Linked DNA regions of Arabidopsis thaliana. The protein of the gene in region 4 interacts with the protein of the main gene of each other region in a pairwise test. Each region holds a gene or a part of one and is shown on either strand. Other genes may lie near its edges.

What was found.
Region 1: the proteins of SEP1 (region 4) and AT4G17486 interact in a two-hybrid assay, tested with the Arabidopsis thaliana proteins (one large-scale study listed by BioGRID).
Region 2: the proteins of SEP1 (region 4) and MOS6 interact in a two-hybrid assay, tested with the Arabidopsis thaliana proteins (one large-scale study listed by BioGRID).
Region 3: the proteins of SEP1 (region 4) and AT4G03250 interact in a two-hybrid assay, tested with the Arabidopsis thaliana proteins (one large-scale study listed by BioGRID).

The regions. Positions count from the first base shown.
Region 1 is NC_003075.7:9,749,034-9,753,553, forward strand, and holds AT4G17486 (PPPDE putative thiol peptidase family protein), read right to left. Parts: upstream 2,772-4,520; 5' UTR 2,599-2,771; intron 2,236-2,598; 5' UTR 2,169-2,235; coding exon 2,003-2,168; intron 1,650-2,002; coding exon 1,362-1,649; intron 1,276-1,361; coding exon 1,195-1,275; intron 1,099-1,194; coding exon 959-1,098; 3' UTR 545-958; downstream 1-544. Other genes in the region: ERF6 (ethylene responsive element binding factor 6), read right to left, coding at 3,940-4,520.
Region 2 is NC_003075.7:950,041-955,387, forward strand, and holds MOS6 (ARM repeat superfamily protein), read right to left. Parts: upstream 3,651-5,347; 5' UTR 3,563-3,650; coding exon 3,347-3,562; intron 2,975-3,346; coding exon 2,875-2,974; intron 2,785-2,874; coding exon 2,693-2,784; intron 2,590-2,692; coding exon 2,458-2,589; intron 2,332-2,457; coding exon 2,146-2,331; intron 2,056-2,145; coding exon 1,892-2,055; intron 1,805-1,891; coding exon 1,726-1,804; intron 1,652-1,725; coding exon 1,523-1,651; intron 1,433-1,522; coding exon 1,305-1,432; coding exon of another isoform or gene 1,301-1,304; exon of another isoform or gene 1,214-1,300; coding exon 844-1,213; 3' UTR 506-843; downstream 1-505. Other genes in the region: AT4G02140 (uncharacterized protein), read right to left, coding at 45-200; AT4G02160 (cotton fiber protein), read right to left, coding at 5,061-5,347. UniProt on the Arabidopsis thaliana protein: Binds to conventional NLS motifs and mediates nuclear protein import across the nuclear envelope. Acts as a cellular receptor for the nuclear import of the virD2 protein of Agrobacterium, but is not essential for Agrobacterium-mediated root transformation.
Region 3 is NC_003075.7:1,423,332-1,428,575, reverse strand, and holds AT4G03250 (Homeodomain-like superfamily protein), read right to left. Parts: upstream 3,675-5,244; 5' UTR 3,527-3,674; coding exon 3,517-3,526; intron 3,038-3,516; coding exon 2,930-3,037; intron 2,847-2,929; coding exon 2,241-2,846; intron 2,066-2,240; coding exon 1,986-2,065; intron 1,840-1,985; coding exon 1,366-1,839; intron 1,271-1,365; coding exon 1,196-1,270; intron 1,088-1,195; coding exon 990-1,087; intron 905-989; coding exon 832-904; 3' UTR 514-831; downstream 1-513. Other genes in the region: FH (frataxin-like protein), read left to right, coding at 3,818-4,035, 4,125-4,197, 4,295-4,342, 4,442-4,536, 4,762-4,891.
Region 4 is NC_003076.8:5,150,808-5,155,812, forward strand, and holds SEP1 (K-box region and MADS-box transcription factor family protein), read right to left. Parts: upstream 3,447-5,005; 5' UTR 2,961-3,446; coding exon 2,776-2,960; intron 1,925-2,775; coding exon 1,843-1,924; intron 1,753-1,842; coding exon 1,691-1,752; intron 1,602-1,690; coding exon 1,502-1,601; intron 1,412-1,501; coding exon 1,328-1,411; intron 1,191-1,327; coding exon 1,042-1,190; intron 914-1,041; coding exon 787-913; 3' UTR 527-786; downstream 1-526. UniProt on the Arabidopsis thaliana protein: Probable transcription factor. Functions with SEPALLATA2/AGL4 and SEPALLATA3/AGL9 to ensure proper development of petals, stamens and carpels, and to prevent the indeterminate growth of the flower meristem.

The DNA.
Region 1 (4,520 bases), on a different chromosome or scaffold from region 4:
AAGAGTTGTGTCTTCTTATTCTTCTGTTTTTTTTTGGGCAAAAGAGTTGTGTCTCTTCACTTGGCATATTTATAGGCGTAATTAACTAAACCACATACATATGTTATTTTGTTATATTTTGTTCTACTTAGATTTATTTCTTTTCTATATGTCAAAATATTGATTAAATCTTAGACCTCAATTGTTATCAAAATTTAATATACAGTGCTGGTATAGTATTTTCCTATTGATCTAAAAGTATTTTAAAAGAAAAATAAATAAGATAGTCAAATATAGGGACCCTTAAGTATATGTCAAGTTTTTAATTTTCTAAGCAAGATTAATCACCATAAATTCTTAGTTTTAGTAATCATATTAAATAAAAAGTATATTAAGTGATTCTTAATTGCAAGCAATAAATTGCTAAAGCAAAACATACAATGAAAAACATAGAAAAAATAACAACAGATAAATCAAAGCATGGAGAACTAAGAGCGTCAAGTGCGTCAGCCATTCTCAGTGCAAACCCTATATGGTTTGGGGAAAATTTGAGAAACAAATTGGGGTTTTTTTGCCCTAGTAACTGATTTGTGGTTTCTTTCTTTTAATAACTTTAATTACGATTTGTTTTTAAAATTTATTACAAACGATAAACAGCTTGATAGCTCTTTCGATATGGTTATGGCCTTATGGGTAGAACCGGGGTAACTAGATATGGAAAATATGGAGAAATCTTTAGATTTTTACTGCCAAAGGGTTGTCTGATTAAAATGAATCCGGGAATCCGTTTTTACATTCCTAAAATGATGAGAAGAATACCAAATCGAATTTCCGACAGAACCAACGCAGCACTAAGGTGACAAAACGAGATATATAACTTACTCCCTTTCAGCTTCCATGGGCACACCACACTCTGCAAGTTTTGATGATTGGTTGGGTTGATTCAGGAGGAAGTACATTGTCGTCGCTGGTTGGTTTCTCAGGGGATCTCCTCTCTGGTAAGTCGCACTGGTTTGTTTTGTAGATACACAATCTCTCTGTCTGCTACATTTATGAGATGCTGCTCTGATCCTTCTTCATCTGACACAGAAGATGCCTCTGAGTTTGATTCATCCTCATCTACATAAGGAAAATACGAAGCCATTCATGATTTGTTTTGATCACAAAGGAGTTGGGGTTTTTTTGGTTATAACATTCTCTTAGTTAGGAGCTTACCGGAGAATTCAAGGCGTTCGGGAAGAGCACTAACAGCTGTAAGCTGAATGCTTTCTGGCAGAAGACAATTACAGAAGGAACCTGAAACTCAAACAGACCATGAGTAAATATTTAGGACACAATTTGTTTGTAACTTAACACAGAGAAAGGTTTATTATATCTTTTACCTACTCGGGCCAGCCGATTAATCCATCCTGGAATAGGCTTTCCTGTTAGCTGCAAGCATACTTCTTCAGTGAAATGGTTACAGTTCTTGGCAATCAAATGGTAAGTGTCACCATGGTACTTTCTTGAAAGCTTCTCCATGTATGAGCGGAAATCTGAACGGGACATGCTGGTAGTTCCCAGTAAAACCGACCGTCTAAAGATGAACCCTGGACAGTTCCTAGGTTCCACCTCATATACCCCACTTGTTGGATACTCGTGAGCTCCATAGCAATATTCCAAATTATGAGCTACATTGAAGTTGAACAACTGTGTCAAAGAGAGCAATGAATAATAACTAAAATAACAGGTAAAATCTAAGTTATTAAAGGATCATAGAAAGTTTCCACTAAATAATCCTCAGCGTTTAACACTTTTCTTGGTCCTACATCTATATCCACAAACAATCCCCTTCTCAAAAGAGCCTAGTATTGCCACCAAATCATTAAGACAGCTATTTTTCTATATCCAGAAACAATCCCCTTCTCAAAAGCATACTAAGTAGACAATGTTCTCTTGAGTTTACAGATATACAGACTCATAGAAAGGTTTCTCCTTTCGTGATCTCAATCAAGAATCTTAAAGAGAAAGAGAAGAAACATACCCTCAATACCAGAATGGAAAATGCCAATCCCAAACCAATAAAGGTAATTGTTGACAGGCGTTAGATCATAGACATTGAGATAAACCGGCGTAAGCGCGGCTTCTCCACTGCTCTCATCCCTCTCATCACTTGAACATGAGCTTGAGCTCAATGTAGGCACCCACATTTTACACACAATATCCCAATTCAAAGTCACGATCGAACCATTCCTTTCTTCCTAAACCTCTGCAACACTAAAAAAAAAAAAAACTGATGGTCATATTCATCATATAAACACCAAAAGTAACAATCAAATGTTCCATAACTTAGATCAAAATAATTGGAATTCAAGCAATTCGAACATAAACAATCAAACATGTATACAACTTCTTCTTTGGCGACTAACGAGAACAGATCCAAGGATTCGATTCACACAGTAGCAATTACACATACAATCAAAAATCTAATCCTCTAAAAGAAAAATCTATCCAATCGCTCGAATTTCAAATCAGGAAAGCCACGAAACATAATTGAAATTGGGCGCGTGCGTTTTCATGTACAACAATCGAGCAAGAGAGATCGAGAGAGACGAGGAAGACGAAGGAAACGGAGCTTACATGAGAGTCGAGCAGAATGGGATTGGTTGGGAGAGAGACTGCAAAAATGATCGAGAAAAGTTTATACACGGAGTTTTTTTCTTTGAAGATTTGCTTTTTTTTTTTGGTTAAAACTTAAGCATATAAGTAATGAACAAAACAAATAAAAGTCAAAGCTAAATATTAGTTGGCAAAAAAAAAATCATATATGTATTTACATATTTAACACGTATGTACTAATATAATTTTCATTGATTATTACACTTCAATATTCAATTTACCCCCCTTTACTTTAAAAAAATATATTCAATATACTTTCTCTCAAATTTTTTGTTAGTTGATTTGTTCATTTTAATTTTTTTATATATACTGAATAATAAAATTTATTTGAAGCCTCGTATTTGGTTTCACTGAAAGAAGCGATACCATTTGAGAATTATGGTGTTCACATCCGTAAATATAGATATGATTCGGATTTCTAAAAAGATAAACAAAGAACCAAAATTCAGTTTTACACACAAGAGATTATTAAAGTTATCTAAATAATCTATTAGCTGTATTAATGACTTAACGTAAGCAGTGGTATATAGGGAAAAGTTGATTTGTGGTATAAAAGTCTAAGATTGGATGAGAGAAACTCTTAAGGATCGACGTATAGGCGATGGTATAAAAATCAAAATGGAAAGCTTTTACCATGCAAAAAGAACCATAGCATTTTTGTTTTAAAGAAAGAAAAAAAAAAGAAGGAAAAGAGTCATAGATATTACCATGCAAAAATATGGAAATTGTAATATATATACGTGATTCCCATATTATAAGATTAGAGCTTTTTCCGCCAAACTAATTTATTAATTGTAATTATTGATTACAAATTTATAGATATTTCAAAAATGAAGTCACAAATGAGAAATGAATCAAATGAAACAATCTATAGAAAACAAGATATTATAAAAGTCAATTAGTCAGAGTTTATACATGCAAAAAAAAAAGAGTCATGGAGCTTTCAAATATTAAGTCACAAATAGGATATAATCGAGACTGCTAAAGATGTTACGGTAATAAATCCGAGCATATTACATGCCATTGAAAAATAATACGTTCTATGATAAAAAGTCATTTGATCGGAGCTTCGTGTTATGTGTTCTCTGTTCTTTCCATATTGATTCGCCTTTACATGCGATTTTTGTCTCAGTAGCCGCTAAATAAGGTGATTGGTTAGAATTTAGAAATATCAAGAGTTGTATTAAAAAACAAATAAACGAATGAATAAATTTTGCTCGAATGTGAACATAAAATAAGCAAAAGATATAGCATAATTCCACGTCAGCATACAACAAGCTGACCCAAACAGAAAAATAGAATTCAAACAACGGTCAATTGTGGATAACCAAACGGTGGGTGTGGAGATAACGGCGATAAAAGCGGCATGCTCAGAAACTCCGTCAAATCCCAGTCATCTATCGCCGTCAAACCTGACTCAACATTCTCGCCGCCGCTAACGTCGTAACTCTCCTCCGTCTTTAGCACTTTCTCAACCACCGTCACTTCCTCCTCCTCGCCGTCTCTCTTCCGTTTGTTGTACAGGCCACGACCATCTTCAGCGCGTGGATTCCACTTGTCAACTTCAAGCGGGAAATTCAGAATCGCCTTTGATCCTCGTAGTCTAAACGCTTCTTTGTCGTAAGCTCTAGCCGCTTCGATCGCCGTCTCAAACGTCCCGAGCCAAACACGAGTTCCACGACGAGTCGGGTCTCGAATCTCCGCCGCGAATTTCCCCCACGGCCTCATCCTCACTCCTCTGTAATGCCTCTTCTCCTCTGCTGCTACAACCGGTACGGGAAGTTCCGGTTTAGGATTTCCGGTTGCGAATTGAATCCACTTGGTTCGGTTCGGTGGTGCGATCTTCAACGGCGGTTTTCGATTGGATTGAACAGTAACGCGAG
Region 2 (5,347 bases), on a different chromosome or scaffold from region 4:
GACAGCTAAGCTTGACATATATAAACAACAAAGTCAAAATATACCTCGGGGTCTGATGGAAAAAGACTAGGCTCGTCTCCATCGTTACGGGCATGAATCTCTGGATCAGCGGTTCGACCAGTAGAAGAAGATAGTCTCTTCGCATGAAGACGACGACCGAGAGTAGAACGTGCTGCAGCAAAAGCTGGTGAAGACAGCATTATATCTGGCTATGTTGTTGTTCTTGTTGTCTGTTGGATATAAAACAATGAGAGTGTTTTAAATACACGAATTAGTCACATAGCCTAAACCCTAATTTCTCGCATATAGAAATTATGACCATGATAATAACCACTTAATCACCACTAATCTCTCCTATTTGTAATTAGACACCAAAGTACCCAATAAAAACTCCACATGCGTATATTGCTCTTGAAGTTTTGACCGTTGCCTCAAACCTCCACAAGCGTATATTACTATTTCTAGCTTCTCTGTTTTCTAAAATTGCGAGTAAAAATGATTAACTATTGAATAAAAATGTTTCTGGTTTAGTTAAGGCATAACTACGATTTTGTAATGGCACTAATATATGAAAAAAGGGAACTTTGTTGAAAGACGAGATGATGGCTAACACAGAATAATTGTTTCTCTTCCCCAAATGATTTAGTTATTGAGACAAACTTCCAAAAAGAAAAGAAAATCGTACTATGTTTCTTCATAGTTCATGTCCACGAGTTAAGGAGTGGGCATGAAGAGATAGAGAAGATTGATATTTCATCTTTGTGATGTTACCACTTTCGTTCGATATGTGGCTTACTTAAAAGTCCAAGCAACTTCTATGACCCAATTCAACTATTTTACCTTTCAAATAAAGTTGAATTGACCAGGAGGAACATTGGTGCTTCCGAACTGGAAACCAGATTGTGGAGCATGATTCTCGTCGTTGCCTTCTTCTTCATTGTCTTCAGTCCAAAATGTTTCGAGGATCTTCACGGCTTTGTCGTAGATATCATTGTTGTCGTGACTCTGAAGATTCTCAATCTTCTCTAACCCTTCTGCTTCGTCAATCATTTGAGCGTAGAGGTTGTCTTCTCCTGTGTGACCTAAGTTCTTCTCTGCTTCTCCAACCACGAGAATGTTCTCTAGTGCTTCTAAGCAAACCGTTACAACTTTCAGATCTGGGCAAGTAAGGAGATCGCATAGAGGTTTGATACAGCCTTGGCTCACCATAAACCTGAGAAGAAACAAACAATAAACACAGACGTGTTTTAGAAATGACCATTCTTTGTTAAGGAAACATTTCGTTTCGGTTTTTATGGTTTTACTTGATTTGATCATGAGTGCCACCAGAAGTAGCATTTGATATTCCCCAAGCAGCTTCTTTTTTTACTTCGAACTCTGCACTTTGAAGCACCCAAACAAGAGACTGGATTATACCTGCATCAATCACTGCCTGCACATACGGGTTCGAATAAAATCAGACACAGGAAACTTCAATTTTCGACTTTCTTGTTAAATGCCATATATTATAAACAAAACTCACTTGTATCTGATCTGCATTTCCAGCTGTAATGTTGGAGATAGTCCAGCAAGCTTCCTTCTTGATACTCTTCTTGTAATTGTTTTTTAGAAGGTTCAAAAGACAAGGAAGCGCTTGCTGGTCGAGAACCATCTGTGTTAGGAAAATAAGTTAGAGACATTTGCTTCTGAAAACTCGAAATCGAATGGTGAATGTATTATATGCACCTGAGTCTGTAGATCATCCCCGGTTACAATATTTCCAATGGTACGAAGAGCAGGAATCAGCACTGATGGCGACGAATGACTATACGGAGAAAGAGGAAGCACATAAATCAGATAACATAATCATGCCTGGCAATAAAAATTAAAATGATCACTATCAGATGCTTACCCTAAGAGCTGGATGAGGCGAGGAACAACTCCTGCTTCAATGACTGCTTGTATTTTGTCGTTTGAATTATCCGAGAGGTATGACAGAGCCCAGCATGCATCTGTGAGAACTTCTTCATCCATTGATTGCACAAGGCGCTCAAGAACTGGTAAAGCTGGTTGTGTCTGCTCGAAAAATGTTTTAAGTAACAAAATATCAGAAGCATGTTAAAAAATATTGTGGAGATTCAATAAAGTGTGTATATTTAAGGAAACCTGTTCAAATGCGGGTGGGGGCTTCCCTCTGCAGAAGTTTGATAATGTCCATGTAGCATTTCTCAGCATTGAAAGCTTTGTATTCTCATTGAATTGAGACAGAAGAGGTGTCATGGCACCGTAACTTAGGACTAAATCCCGGCATTTTGGTGAGTCTCCAGCAACATTTCCCAATGCCCAAACAGCCTATACTCAGTCAGGGAAAGACCAGAACTCAGAATGGTAACAGTCTCAATGAATTTCCACTTGATCCTAATGTCTAAGTGTTTCTTCTGTGACAATAACGATAACAGTGAGGATTTAAACATATACCTGTTCGCGGACATCTTCACTAGCAGAGCTGAGAAGTTGGATGAATATCGGGACAGCTCCACTTTCAATGATGACATTTGTGTTCTCTGATGTCCCTGAAGCAATGTTGGTGAGCGCCCAAGCTGCCTCAAACTAAAACACATTGCAGAAGTAAACAGCAAAAGCAAGTTAACAAATACATCAAACTAGTAACTATCAATATATCCAAAAAAAAACGACTGCAGCTGCGACTCACCTGAAGTTTGGGGAAGTCATCCCTGGAAAGAAACTTCACAACACGAGGAACAACACCAGATTGTACAACTTCATTGATAGGAGGATTTTGTTCTACAAAAGAAAAAACAACTGCTAAAGACTCTAACCAAAACACTGATTGTTATGTACTACTAGTAACGATCAATAACATAAATCACAAACCAATAGAAAGCAGTTTCCGCAAGAGATTTGTTGCCTCCAATTGTGAATTGCTATCCTCTGACCAGATTCCAGCAACCATAGCAGGTAGATTATCTTTTAACTGTAACACGAAGAGACACTATCATAGTCAAAAATCTCCTCTAGCTAAAGTAAATTTGATGATCTCCGTTGAGATATCAACCCTAATTCTCTTTACATGTCAAATTCAACACCGCTCAAATTCCCAGTCAATTAAACAGACATTAGTAACAAATACTCTCACCAAACAACACATACACATCGCAAGTTTTTGCAATCAAATACAAAATCTATGACCAAAAACAAAGAAACATCGCAAGAACTTCAAATCTAGAACAAATCGATCTCCAATTAGAAATTCATATGAAACAGAGACGATCTAATTGATCAAATCGGAACATAAAATCAGAAAAAACTAAAGGTGGAATCGTAAACAAAAGAAAGAATCACATACTTGGTTCGCTGAAGAAAGATCCTGTTCCGTTTGTCCCGTTGCTGAGCCAAAAGCCATAGAAGACGTAAATCTCTTCTTCTGCAAATTTTCCTCTCTCTTGTTCTTCCTGATCTCAACCAAGTTATCCTCTCGCCTCCGCCGTCCTTCCTCCGCATCGACCGCTACTTTGTACCGATTCCGTCGCACCTCCGTCTTCGCGCTAGGTCTGAGAGACATCGCCGCTAAAATCGAATCGAAATCGGAAGAGAATTAACGATCGGAAGATTATTTAAACACGCCAAGTTCGATTAATGAGAGAGTGATAAGGGTTTTGGAGTTTGATGCGAGTGTATTTATACAAGAGCGTGTACTTAGGAGGCCACGATTCAGGAGACTTGTTGTTAATCCAATATTGCCCCTAAGTTTTATCATTAATAACGAACCTGCCACTCATATTTTTTTTCTTTTTTGAAATTTGAATCTTAACGTCTCTCTGCCTTTTTAGGTATGTATACACCGACTACTAATTATGGATTTGTTTTCCTTTATTTTCTCCACGCAAATATTCTTTTCTTTTTCTGCAGCAGCAATACTCTAATTTGAAGAGGCTTTTTAAAGCCCAAATAAATTATTACATAGGCCAAACTTGGCTAAAACAACGTAATTTACAAGACTGTACTCTAATTAAAAGGGGTAAAAAGATCAATGTGAGCAACTGAGCATTATGAGAACTTTACTAATTAGATGCTTTACTATTCAATGCATCTTGGAAAGACGAGAACAACCATATTGCTTGAATTCCTTTCAAATGAGAGAACAACTAAATTGATTTCTTTCTATTTGTGCCATCTTATAAACTTGAGTGAACGACCTCTATTCCCCTACGCAGTTTCACATAGTACCACAACTACACAGATTTAGAACTTCGTTTACAGTCAACACAAAATAGAAGGTAAATTATTATATCCTCCTAAATCGAAAGTTAGAGAATTTAGTCTCCACAAAACCAAATTTTGTAGTTTATTATTAGGTTAACGTCATAAACCTAATGCCAAACCAAAAATCTAGTATAATAAACCGAATTGCAACCGATTCAATTTACTCTCCACATCATAAACTTCTAATCTCTCTTCTTTAGCTTCCATGTCTCTGATTTTCTCTTCAAGCAAATTGGATTCTCAAACCAATAGGAAAATTCTAAATTATATTGGATTGTACCCATAAGTGAATTATAAACTTCTACTTAACTCATTATTGGGTTTTTGGTTCAAAAGAAAAAAAAGAAAAAAACGAATTGCTTGAAATATGACAACAACAAAGGCTTGTAGCTCAGAGTCATGTATATGACACCCTAGGAAAACTGCCAAAGAAGCTCAGAGTCATGTATATAATTTGCGTACAAATTCATCATCTACTATATCACTCACAAGAAGCTAGCTGCAATTTGGTTCTAGCATTATGACTTGAAGATGATATATAGTAAACCAAAATGACATCAGTTTTATAAATATATTTTAATATAGTTTGCGTACAAATTCATCGTCTACTATAAAAGTATACAATCAAGACTAACTGAATACAATATATATATCATTACTTAAATCATCGAAATAATAGACGAAAAAAAAAAATCATCGAAATAATCAAAGACAAACTCTGTGCACGTCTCCATGCATATATGTATACTCATGTAATATGACATTATGCTTCAGTGAATAGAATTACAATGTGCGATTTAGACCATCATCATCTCTTTAGCTTTGTAACGTTCTGTATAAGCCTGATTTTGCATCCTCATCTGTTCATAAAATCTCACAATAAACTCCTCAGCTTTCGCATCAATCATCTCATCACCTCCATCATCATTACCATAATTTTCATCATCATCATCATCTTCATCAAGACAATCCATATCTCGCAACGACTTTGCTGATCCATATCCCGAGATTCCCGAAGAGCAAGAACTAGACGTCGCCGTGAGAACCTCAACCATCTCCGATACCTGATCGTCACTACTCGCCG
Region 3 (5,244 bases), on a different chromosome or scaffold from region 4:
GAAACAGAAAACAAAATCCATAAAGATCATCTTTTTCAATACCTACCGACAAAAATCTAATCAGCAATCAAAAACATCAACCGTTGGACGAAATTACGGAGACACAAAGGTCAACAAGTTCACAAAACACAAACCCGTAATAACGAAACACGAACAAGTGATGGAAAATATCGCAGGAACTAACACAGAATCGGAGAACAGTGGAATCGTCGTGAGAGAGAAGAAGAAGAAGAAGAGAGATTCTTACCAGGGAGGAAAAGGATTGGATTTGAAAATCCAGATGAATAATTGATTAAGCGTAAAGATTCGAAATCAGTAGCAGAGAAACCAAAAAAATTATCTTCAAAATTTGAGTTTGAGGCAAAGCAACGCTAACCCTAAAAGAAAAAGAAAAAAACCTTTTTTGGCCGAATCAAAATTGTACCACATACTTTCTACGAAAACTAGTCAACGGCTCTGATTTTTTCTCATGTGACGAAATCTCCTAGTCACACATTTCCGAACCGCCTTTTACGACTAAACCGGACTATCATAATATTTTGGGCCTAATTTGAGCTTTATTAATAAATGGGCCTTACTTTGGTTATTTTGTAATCACTGGGATTTACATACTCAATTCGGTCAAACCGGTAACGGTTTAGGAGCAAATTTAAACAAAAAAAGGCTCATTACTGGCTCACTGTATCTCTTTGGGGACCGTTTAGTTACCAAAATGAAGAGAGCTCTAACTTTTACCAATTACACGATGCAACATTTTCACATCCTAAACCGGTTTCATCATATATCTATACAAACCGGAATTTCCTAATCTTCCTTTGTACCTTTCTTTACTTAATCCATTGACGAGCTAGATTCGTCAGTCTCATCGTCCCCGCTTAAACTAGAAGGCAGTTCCACACCAGACCTACAAACATAACAGTATGATCCAATAAGCCGATTTGATATCTCTTTGGGACAATAAATGCATTACACAATGGTTGGTTACTAACCGATTTATCTGGCTTTTTCGTTCAAGAATCTCGCTGTATGATGATGATTTTGGTGCATATACTTGCTGAATATACCCATGTTTCACTCGTTTGGCAACCTATTAACATTCGTTAAAGGTCAGAACACGAACTTGATAGAGCCTCTAAACTTTGTTAAAATATACATCAATATCTATATTTTTAAGATAGTTAACCATCAAACTCACCGGTGGTTCATCAGTCGAATGCAATTTCTCTCTCTGCATTTTCATTTGATTCCTCTCCCCGTGATATATTCCTGCCTTTAAAAGAAGATATCACACAAAACACAAGTCATATTTCCATAAAAGGGCAAGAAAGGAACATGTAGACATGGAAGTATTAGACAAATCTTTACCATCCCAGAAGATGGACCTCTATCCATTGACTCAGGGGATCTGCTTCTACTCGGAGGTAACAGCTTCGAAGATTTAGTGAGATATCCCGTCTTGCGTCCGCCATTAGATATATTATTATCATAATCATGAGACTGATTGGTTTCAATATTGCTTCCAGAAAGATTTTGGACGTTGGCAACCAGATGGTTTCTCGACCCTTCAGCCCAACTTTTGGAACTTATCCAACCCTTCTTGCTGTTAGTTACAGGGATTTCCCGTGGTGAACCTTTGAATGTCTCTTTAAACGATTTGTGGCGAGGTACAGAATTATAGAAACTGGTAGAAGGGGATTTCAGTCTTGGTTCCCCAAAACTTTTCTTATCTCTTAGACCAGGCTCCATTCCAACCATTATGTTGTCATCATCATCATGCTCATCATCCTCTGAATCTGGATCTGGCGAATGCAACTTTGATTTACGAGCTAATTCATAGCTCTATAAAGACATTAAGACAGAAAACGAAAATATTAATAATACTTCAAAGAAAGTAAGATAATTTAGCCAAAGAATGTGATGGCAGACTAAGATTCTAGTTTATATTATCTTCATGGGTATGTAGTATACAGAAAATGTTCACTTACAGGACCAGGATTAAAGCTCTTCCTCGTTCCAAGTAAATGTGGAAGGTGAGGCCGTCTCTGATTCCCAACATATATTGGCTCTGACAAAACAGTTGATAGAAAAAGCAATCAAATCCGACTGGACATGGGTAAAGGCATTCACAATCTGACACACGAAGAAGATGGTTTTAGCTTCTCTGAGCCACTTACTCAATACTCATAACATCATAAACCAGAAAATTAAAGGTAAAGTTGAAACATTTTATCATGACTCACCGTGAACTATAGGATTAGTCTGAGGCTCAAATGCACCGGGAGGAAGAGGATCAAATTCAACCCCCAGAGGTGGACCATCCTCTTGGTATTGTCTTCCTAATTGTCTCTTTACGGCAGTGATAGCAAAATTCTCACTCTCTCCCTTCACTTTCAAGTATCCCGAAGGCTTATTATACCCATAGCTTCTCATGAACTGAGGATGCTGAATAACGTCTTTATGTGCAACATATCTAGAACTTTCCACATCGCGAATTCCATCTTTGCTAGAGACAAGATTCTTACGTAATGATGAGCTACGATCAGAAGATGTACTATCTTCACCATCAGCATTTCCCATATAAAGCCTTTGACTTTCAACTTCCCTAGGCTTGGGGTTCCAATAATCCGTTTGCTTTGTACTACCACATGAATCCTGTCGAAGCCCACTTCCACGATCCTGAAGAACAACGCTTGACCGATCTTGGCTCCCAATGGCATTCCCATCTTCTTTTACATGACGTTTGTCTTTTAACCTTCTATGGCAGAACCAACCTGAAACTTGCTTCTCAGTTAATCCAACTTCCTCTGCTAACTTGCCCTTCATTTCTTCAGTCGGATACTTATGCTCTGTAGAAAAACCAAATCACACCTGTAAAGCATATACAACTTGGTATAAAGGAACATATGCAAACAACAAAGCCATAATTTACCATTGTAGAAATTCTCAAGCGCCATAACTTGCATAGGAGTCTTAAGCTTCCGTTTTTTGCTGTTTTCTGTAGAAGCTTTATCGCCATCAGCGGTCGCTTCGCCTGAATCTATCGAAAATAGCACATAAAAATCAAAAACATAAGAAGATAATAGTGAAACACGGACACCATTCAATAACCAAGAGATGCAAAGCCCTGACCAAAATCAATTTCATTTTACAATCATGCTTTGTGTATTTAGAAATGTTGCTAGTAATTCCGAAATTCAGGTAAAACATCTACACAAGCTTCACATAAAAGGGTTTAATTTCAGAATTATGGCTCTTTCTCTCATCAGCCAAATACTTCTAAACCCAATCAAAACGAACGAAAACTTTGGAATTCCTTAGCTTGAATAATTAGTAGTACCATAAAACAAACCAAAAAAGGCTTAAAATTTCCAATGCCATTGATGAATTTCGCTAATTAAAACTACAAAAACTGGGAGTTGCATTGTAATTCGACGAACTCGGGATCATTAAAAACTATTCTCTCACGTAAACTCGCAGGAAGACAGAGATTGAAATAGAGGAAAAAACGAATTTCACCTGAGTGCATAGCGAAAATTCCCAGAGATTGAAGGAACAAAACCTAATCAGCTCCCAAAAACCCAGATTTTTTTCTTTCTCCTTCTTCAAAATTCTGGTTTTTTCTTATGAGAGGAGAAGAAAACTCTTCTTCGCACACAAATGACAAATCTCTTGAGAACCATACCGGTTTCAGTAAACCGGAACATGGGAAATACGTGAACCGGGTAAATCTAAATTTGGGCCTTATTGTGGGCCTAAATTGGACAACGAAGGAATAAGAAGAAGAGAGGCGTCGAATGTTTCTTGTGACAGAACCGCCATGGCTACAGCTTCAAGGTTTCTTCTACGGAAATTGCCGAGGTTTCTCAAGCTGTCTCCAACTCTTCTCCGTAGCAATGGCGTAAGAGTTTCAAGCAATCTGATTCAAGATTCCATAGAACCGTTGGATTCCTTCTGGAGAATAGGATCTCGAATCCGCCATGATTCTTTGACTACCAGAAGCTTCTCTTCTCAAGGTCCTGCTTCTGTCGATTACAGGTACTTTAATATTCTCCATTTTGATCTCCTTTATTGTATCTGAATCGTTAATTTCATGAGAATATGAACAAAGTGGAAGAAAAAAACAGTTCGGTTTTGCAGGAGGAAGAGTTTCACAAATTAGCCAACTTCACAATTAATCACCTTCTTGAGAAAATTGAGGTATTTGAAGCTGGAACCTTTTTCTCTCTAGGGTTCTTCGTTTTACTTGAGATTGCAATAGCTTACACTATGTTCTACTTGCATGATTCATGTTCAGGATTATGGTGATAATGTTCAGATTGATGGTTTCGACATAGATTATGGGGTAAGGATTAAACTCTTTTAAGCAATTTAAGATCTTGTTCATATTTCTGGAAATCTATGTGTACTTATTATAGTCAGTCCTTTTGGCTGTTTCCAACAGAATGAAGTTCTTACCCTTAAGCTTGGATCTTTAGGCACTTATGTACTGAATAAGCAAACTCCAAATCGACAAATCTGGATGTCTTCACCTGTGAGGTAAAGATTCTTTCTTGCCTTTTGAAAGTTGCTAACTTTAGGCGCCTAGATTGAATTTCGCATCTGGATTATCATGTTCTGCTCTCTCTTCTGATTTTTGTACTCATGATATTTGGAGAAATGAAACTGTTTATGACTGTATAGTGTTGTTGCTCTTGACTTTGTGCTTCCACATCTTAGATTCACATTAATGTAATCTTCATTCTTCCTTTTGTCTCGGTGCAGTGGCCCTTCTAGATTTGACTGGGACCGTGATGCTAATGCGTGGATATATCGGCGAACTGAAGCAAAGTTGCATAAACTCCTGGAAGAGGAGTTAGAGAATCTATGTGGTGAACCAATCCAACTCTCATAAAGAAGGCTTTAAAACAATATTTGTGAGCGAAAGGGTTTCATCTATGAACTTGAAACTGCTATACCCTGTTAAAGGTATATCTATGAAACATCCAGAGGAATAAACAAACAAGGCAGAAGACAAAGTTGTTTTAGTGTGAAAACTGATTAGTGTTTCTGAATCTATTTTTAAACAGTAATGTCTCATAGTGACATTGTTGCAAGTCTCTTTGTTTAATCAGAGCTGAAGCTGCCTTTTACAGGTTTACGCGTTTTAGATGAAAACATTTCTTTTGAACGACAAAAGTCCTACATTTGTCAAAACTCCTCGAATCTCACAATAATTTCGGAAAAAAGTTGGTTAACAATGTTTGC
Region 4 (5,005 bases):
TCTTTACTTGTCTTGTCTATGACAAATATGGCTAATCATTCTTCCTGAAACTCAGAACATTTGAATTATTTCTCATTCATGTTGACTAAAGAATATTTTTTTCTCTGCTGTGAATTCGTCTCATTTGCAGGTGATGGAGTTCCACGAAACACCGTAACTTGTTGCCATTGATCCTGTCTTGTACTGCCTAGACCGGACCTGGGGAGATTGACAAGGCAGCAGAGAGATGTGAATATATTTTTTAACAATATATGATATTGTATATGATGGGGAAATGAGGAAACGTCTCTCTGCACGTTTGGCTTATGGAGTTCTGAGGAAACCCTCTTGAGAGAAAACAACAGCAGCAGCAGAACAGATGCACACAGGAATCTGACATGTTTCTTAGGATTTGCCTTTGGCGCAGTGTTTTGTTCAAGGCATGAAACTTTTTACATCATTTTGTATGATTACTTTTAACCTTTTATGAATTTATGAATATATATGTGATGCTTGTATTTTGGCATATAGTTTACATTGGGTATTTGGGTCAAGGAGAGATCACATTGTAACCCAAATGTTTCTCATTACATGATAATAAACCAGTGTCATGGTTCAGTGTTAAAACAAGTTCCACACATTTGAATTCTTAATATAAGCAAGGATTCCCAAAAGATACAAATGTCTTGAAGATCCTCAGGACCATTATATATAGCCACTTATGTCTACAAATCCAAAGTCTTGTGTCTATACTTTTATATATATAAAAGATCTTTTGTTGGTGAGCTTTAACACAGCACATGACTCTCAGAGCATCCACCCCGGGATGTAACCGTTTCCCTGCTGCGCCTGAGCTTGGGTTGTCGCAGTTATTTGCTCTGAGCATACCGGATTATCATACCTGTCATCATCATCATCATCACCAAAACAGCAACTTAAAAGGTTCACACACATTGATGATCCTCTTTACACCAAGTAACTAAAGAACCTTATATAAGTACAATCTTAGTAGTGAAGTACACAAGCTGATTTGCAGATGATTGTTTAAGGCAAAGGATTTACCCCATTTGCAGAGTTGGATTGCATTCAAGAGGCTGGTATAGTCCCTGAGACTGAGCTTGATGATGCGCGTAGGTAACATTCTGTTCACCACCTTCCCATCCTCCTCCTCCTCCCATATGATGACTTCTCACACCAATCATATCATCCAGCTAAACATTTACATTTCACCAAAAGACTATAATCAGAAACAAGAAAACTAGAGATGTTTCCAAAAATGTTTAGAAACTTAAACTCTGTGAAAGAGATTGATCGCAAGGCACCAAATGCATTTATTCTGTAATTATACCTTCATTGCCAAAGCTCTATTGGTTTCAAGCAACATTTGCTCTTTATTTTGAAGATCCGAGAGCTGGTCAAGCATGTACTGTGTCTGCAAACAATCATCATACCACCATAGTAGTTATAATTAAACAACACAAATTAATCTCATTTGAATCATTGATTCCATGTATAAAGATACCTTGATGGACCGAACTTGCTTGAGAGAGCCGTCCAGTTGACGCTCAAGCTGCTCTAACTCCTTTGAATTCAAAGGTCCTAAATCCTCCCCAAGAAGATTTCTGCACCAACAAAAGCCACACACACCTACAAATATGAATCTACATGGATACAGAATTGAGTAAATATACGGAGGTAGACAGATATGTACCTCTGTTGACGTTGAAGGTTCTCATATCTACCCTTAAGCTTCAGATATTCTCTGTAGCTGTTCTGAAATATTTCACGAAAACAAACTTTTAAAAAAGATCTTTCTTGAAATGATATGATAGGAATCTAAAATAGTATTTGAATTAAGAACACCTCAAGTTCTTTGGCAGGTTTGTTGTTGACTTCAATGGATCCATAGCTGCATTTCTGGTACCGATCAAGTGTCTTGAGCATGCTGAAAATAACTCAAAAAGAGAGAATAAGAGTTTATTAAAAAGATCATACTTGACTTTGGAGATCTAAACCTATAAATCACCATAAAAAAAAAGCTCTTCAAGTTTTAAAGTATTCTTCCATCAAAATTGAAGATTGTTTCCATTATTTATCTGATTATATACGAGTTGATTTGGATTTGATTGTTTCAACTTTCAAACGTAAAGTTTCGTATTTATATTTACAAATATCAATAGTTCAATCCTATCATTTGCAAGCAATATCTTACGTTTTCGTTTGATTCACAAATTGTGATTTGAAAAAAGGAATTAATCGCTATATTTTCTTGAATGCATGTAAGCAAAACTATTTTAACATATAATTAAAAATCTATTAAACATTGTTTTTAAGAAAAAACAAACAATCAAAGCCTTCACAGATATACACGCGTTTGAAGTTTTAACCACCATAAAGTATGATGAACTAACAAATGGTTAATGCATGTAACCATATATTATCATTCTACGTTGGATACTTGTAATTTTCATAGAAATCTGTGAACAACTTTTAAGTTTCCAATCACACAGACATATATTAATTATATAAAACTTTTCAGATTGCATATCAGGATTTGGAATCTATTCGATTACAAAATTCACAGTTCTAAATCATTGACAACAAAAAAACCAGATCTTAAATTTCAAGAATTGGAAAAAAACCCTAGAAAATGAAATCAAGAAATCTAATTAACTCAACTTCGTAGAAATCAAGATCGTGTGATCTATATATAACAAGTCCTTGAGACAAAGATCTAAGCTCAGATCTAGCAAAAACTCAATCAAGAAACTGATAAAGAGTGAGAGAGTTGTTTACTTTGAGGAGCTGCAAAACTCATAGAGCTTTCCACGGTTGGAGAAGATGATGAGAGCAACTTCAGCATCACAGAGAACAGACAATTCATAAGCTTTCTTCAACAAACCGTTCCTACGCTTTGCAAACGTTACTTGTCTGTTGATTTTGTTCTCTATCCTCTTCAGCTCTACTCTTCCTCTTCCCATTTCTTTTTGTTACCTTAATTTCCACTTTTTATGTCTATACACAAATATGGGTATGTAATGTTTATCTATATACAGACACACAAAAACATAAGTTGGGTATCTCTTTTTCAGAGGAAAGATCTGATCTTTTTGAGTTTTTATGGTCTGGAGAATTGATGGTATTTGGAAAAAAGAAATTAACCCTAATTTCAAGAACAAAAGGTACTAGCTTAAGGAAGAAGAAGAGGAAACTTCTGTTTGTCTGATTTTTTATTTATAGGGTTATTGATTCTTTTTCCTCTCTTTAATTGTGTTTGGAAGTGTGTGGAGGTTGTGAAATCTTAATGAAAATTTTGTTTTGAATCAATGGAATCTATTGAGAGCAAAAGATAAGAAATGTGTGAGGGTGAGGTTAGGGTTTGGTGTGTTTTCTCATTTCTAGCCCATCTCTCTGCTTCTTTATTCTTCTTTACTTTCATTCCCACGCTCTCTTTAAGCACGTGTGATACAGTCACCAAATAATTGGCTCTTGTGATACAATTACCAATTAAACTTGTATATATATGTTTATATGTTATTTAAAGGATAAATTTTTATTTCGTATTACTTACTTTAGAGTTTTCATTATAGGGTTATTATTTAATTTGAACATCTATGTGTTTCTCCTCAGGTAGAATTCATGTTTGTGTATATATGGGTGTCTACTATTTATGGAATATTTATACAAAACATCTAAACATATCATTGCTTGAAAATTCTATGTTTATATCATAATAGCAAATTGTTTATGTTTAGTTATATATAACACAACAATAGTACTCTAAGAAAAACAGCATCATGCACGTTTGATGGTTGACTAGTAACTAGACACACGAGGCACAAAGGTTATCAGTTGATTAACATGTGTATGTATATACGGTCTTTCACTTATCACATTACAAACTTGAAAGTAAAATTTGTTTAGCGATATTAAGAAAGTTTATATATAGAGACCTCGTACTAGCTGGAAATGTATATCTAAAATGAAAGTACACTCCCTCTTACATACAGTTTAATATATTTTCAACATAAAACATATGTACATAGTACTAGCTTATTTTTTAACCAAAACTTTTGGGTTTGATAGTTTAACAACTCGGTCAAGAATCTCATATTTTCTTACTTCAAATAATTGCCAATATATTCTAGTTCTTTTTGTTTTTAAATTATACCTGGTAATTTTCTAACGAGAGTCTCATAATTGCAAGTTGTAGTAGTCTTGCAGCTGGATATGAAGCGCGTGAATTAAAACTAAATAATACTTACAATAAATGAAAGCAACGTATCATATCATTTTCTAGTTGTTTTCAGAAGCCGCAGAAAAGCATCTTCTACCTTAAAATGGGTTTCCATGTGTCGATGCCTTATTGGATCATACTTTCTTACTTTTTAATTCAGTTTAAAATAAATTGAAAAATGAGATAAACATTTAAGTGGTTCAATTATCATAAAAAACACTAAAACTGATAAAATAGCCACATAATATAGGTCATATCAAATAAATGAGAAATAATATTTGTATGCCTAAATCAAGTTATCCATGTTTGAAGGTGTTTGCAGTGAGGTATATATGTTTTTGTCTAATAAAGATTACAGTTATGATTATGTAACATAAATTAGATAATATTTACAGCTCGCGATACACTACAATTGAAACGTGGTTAATTAGTGAAACTGAAATTTGAAGAAGAGGATGAAATATGAATGATATTCGTTAAAATGATCTCTTAGATTGTATAGTCATTGTCCCCCATTGCCAAAAGATCAACCACTTACATAAAGTAAAACGCATCTTTAGTTAAAAGCTAACCAAAAGAGTGGAACATATTTATTTTTGGATTGCATTTGCGAATTTCATCAATATATGGTTTTGTTCAATTGGGAAATTTAAATAACTCCACTAAAATGTACAAAGTAATTTTTTTTCGACAAAGAATCTATGAAGCTAAAAAATCTACCCATAAGTCACTTTTAGCAGAAATACCACCATATAGACAAGGGATTATTGTTGATTTTGCCATTTTTTA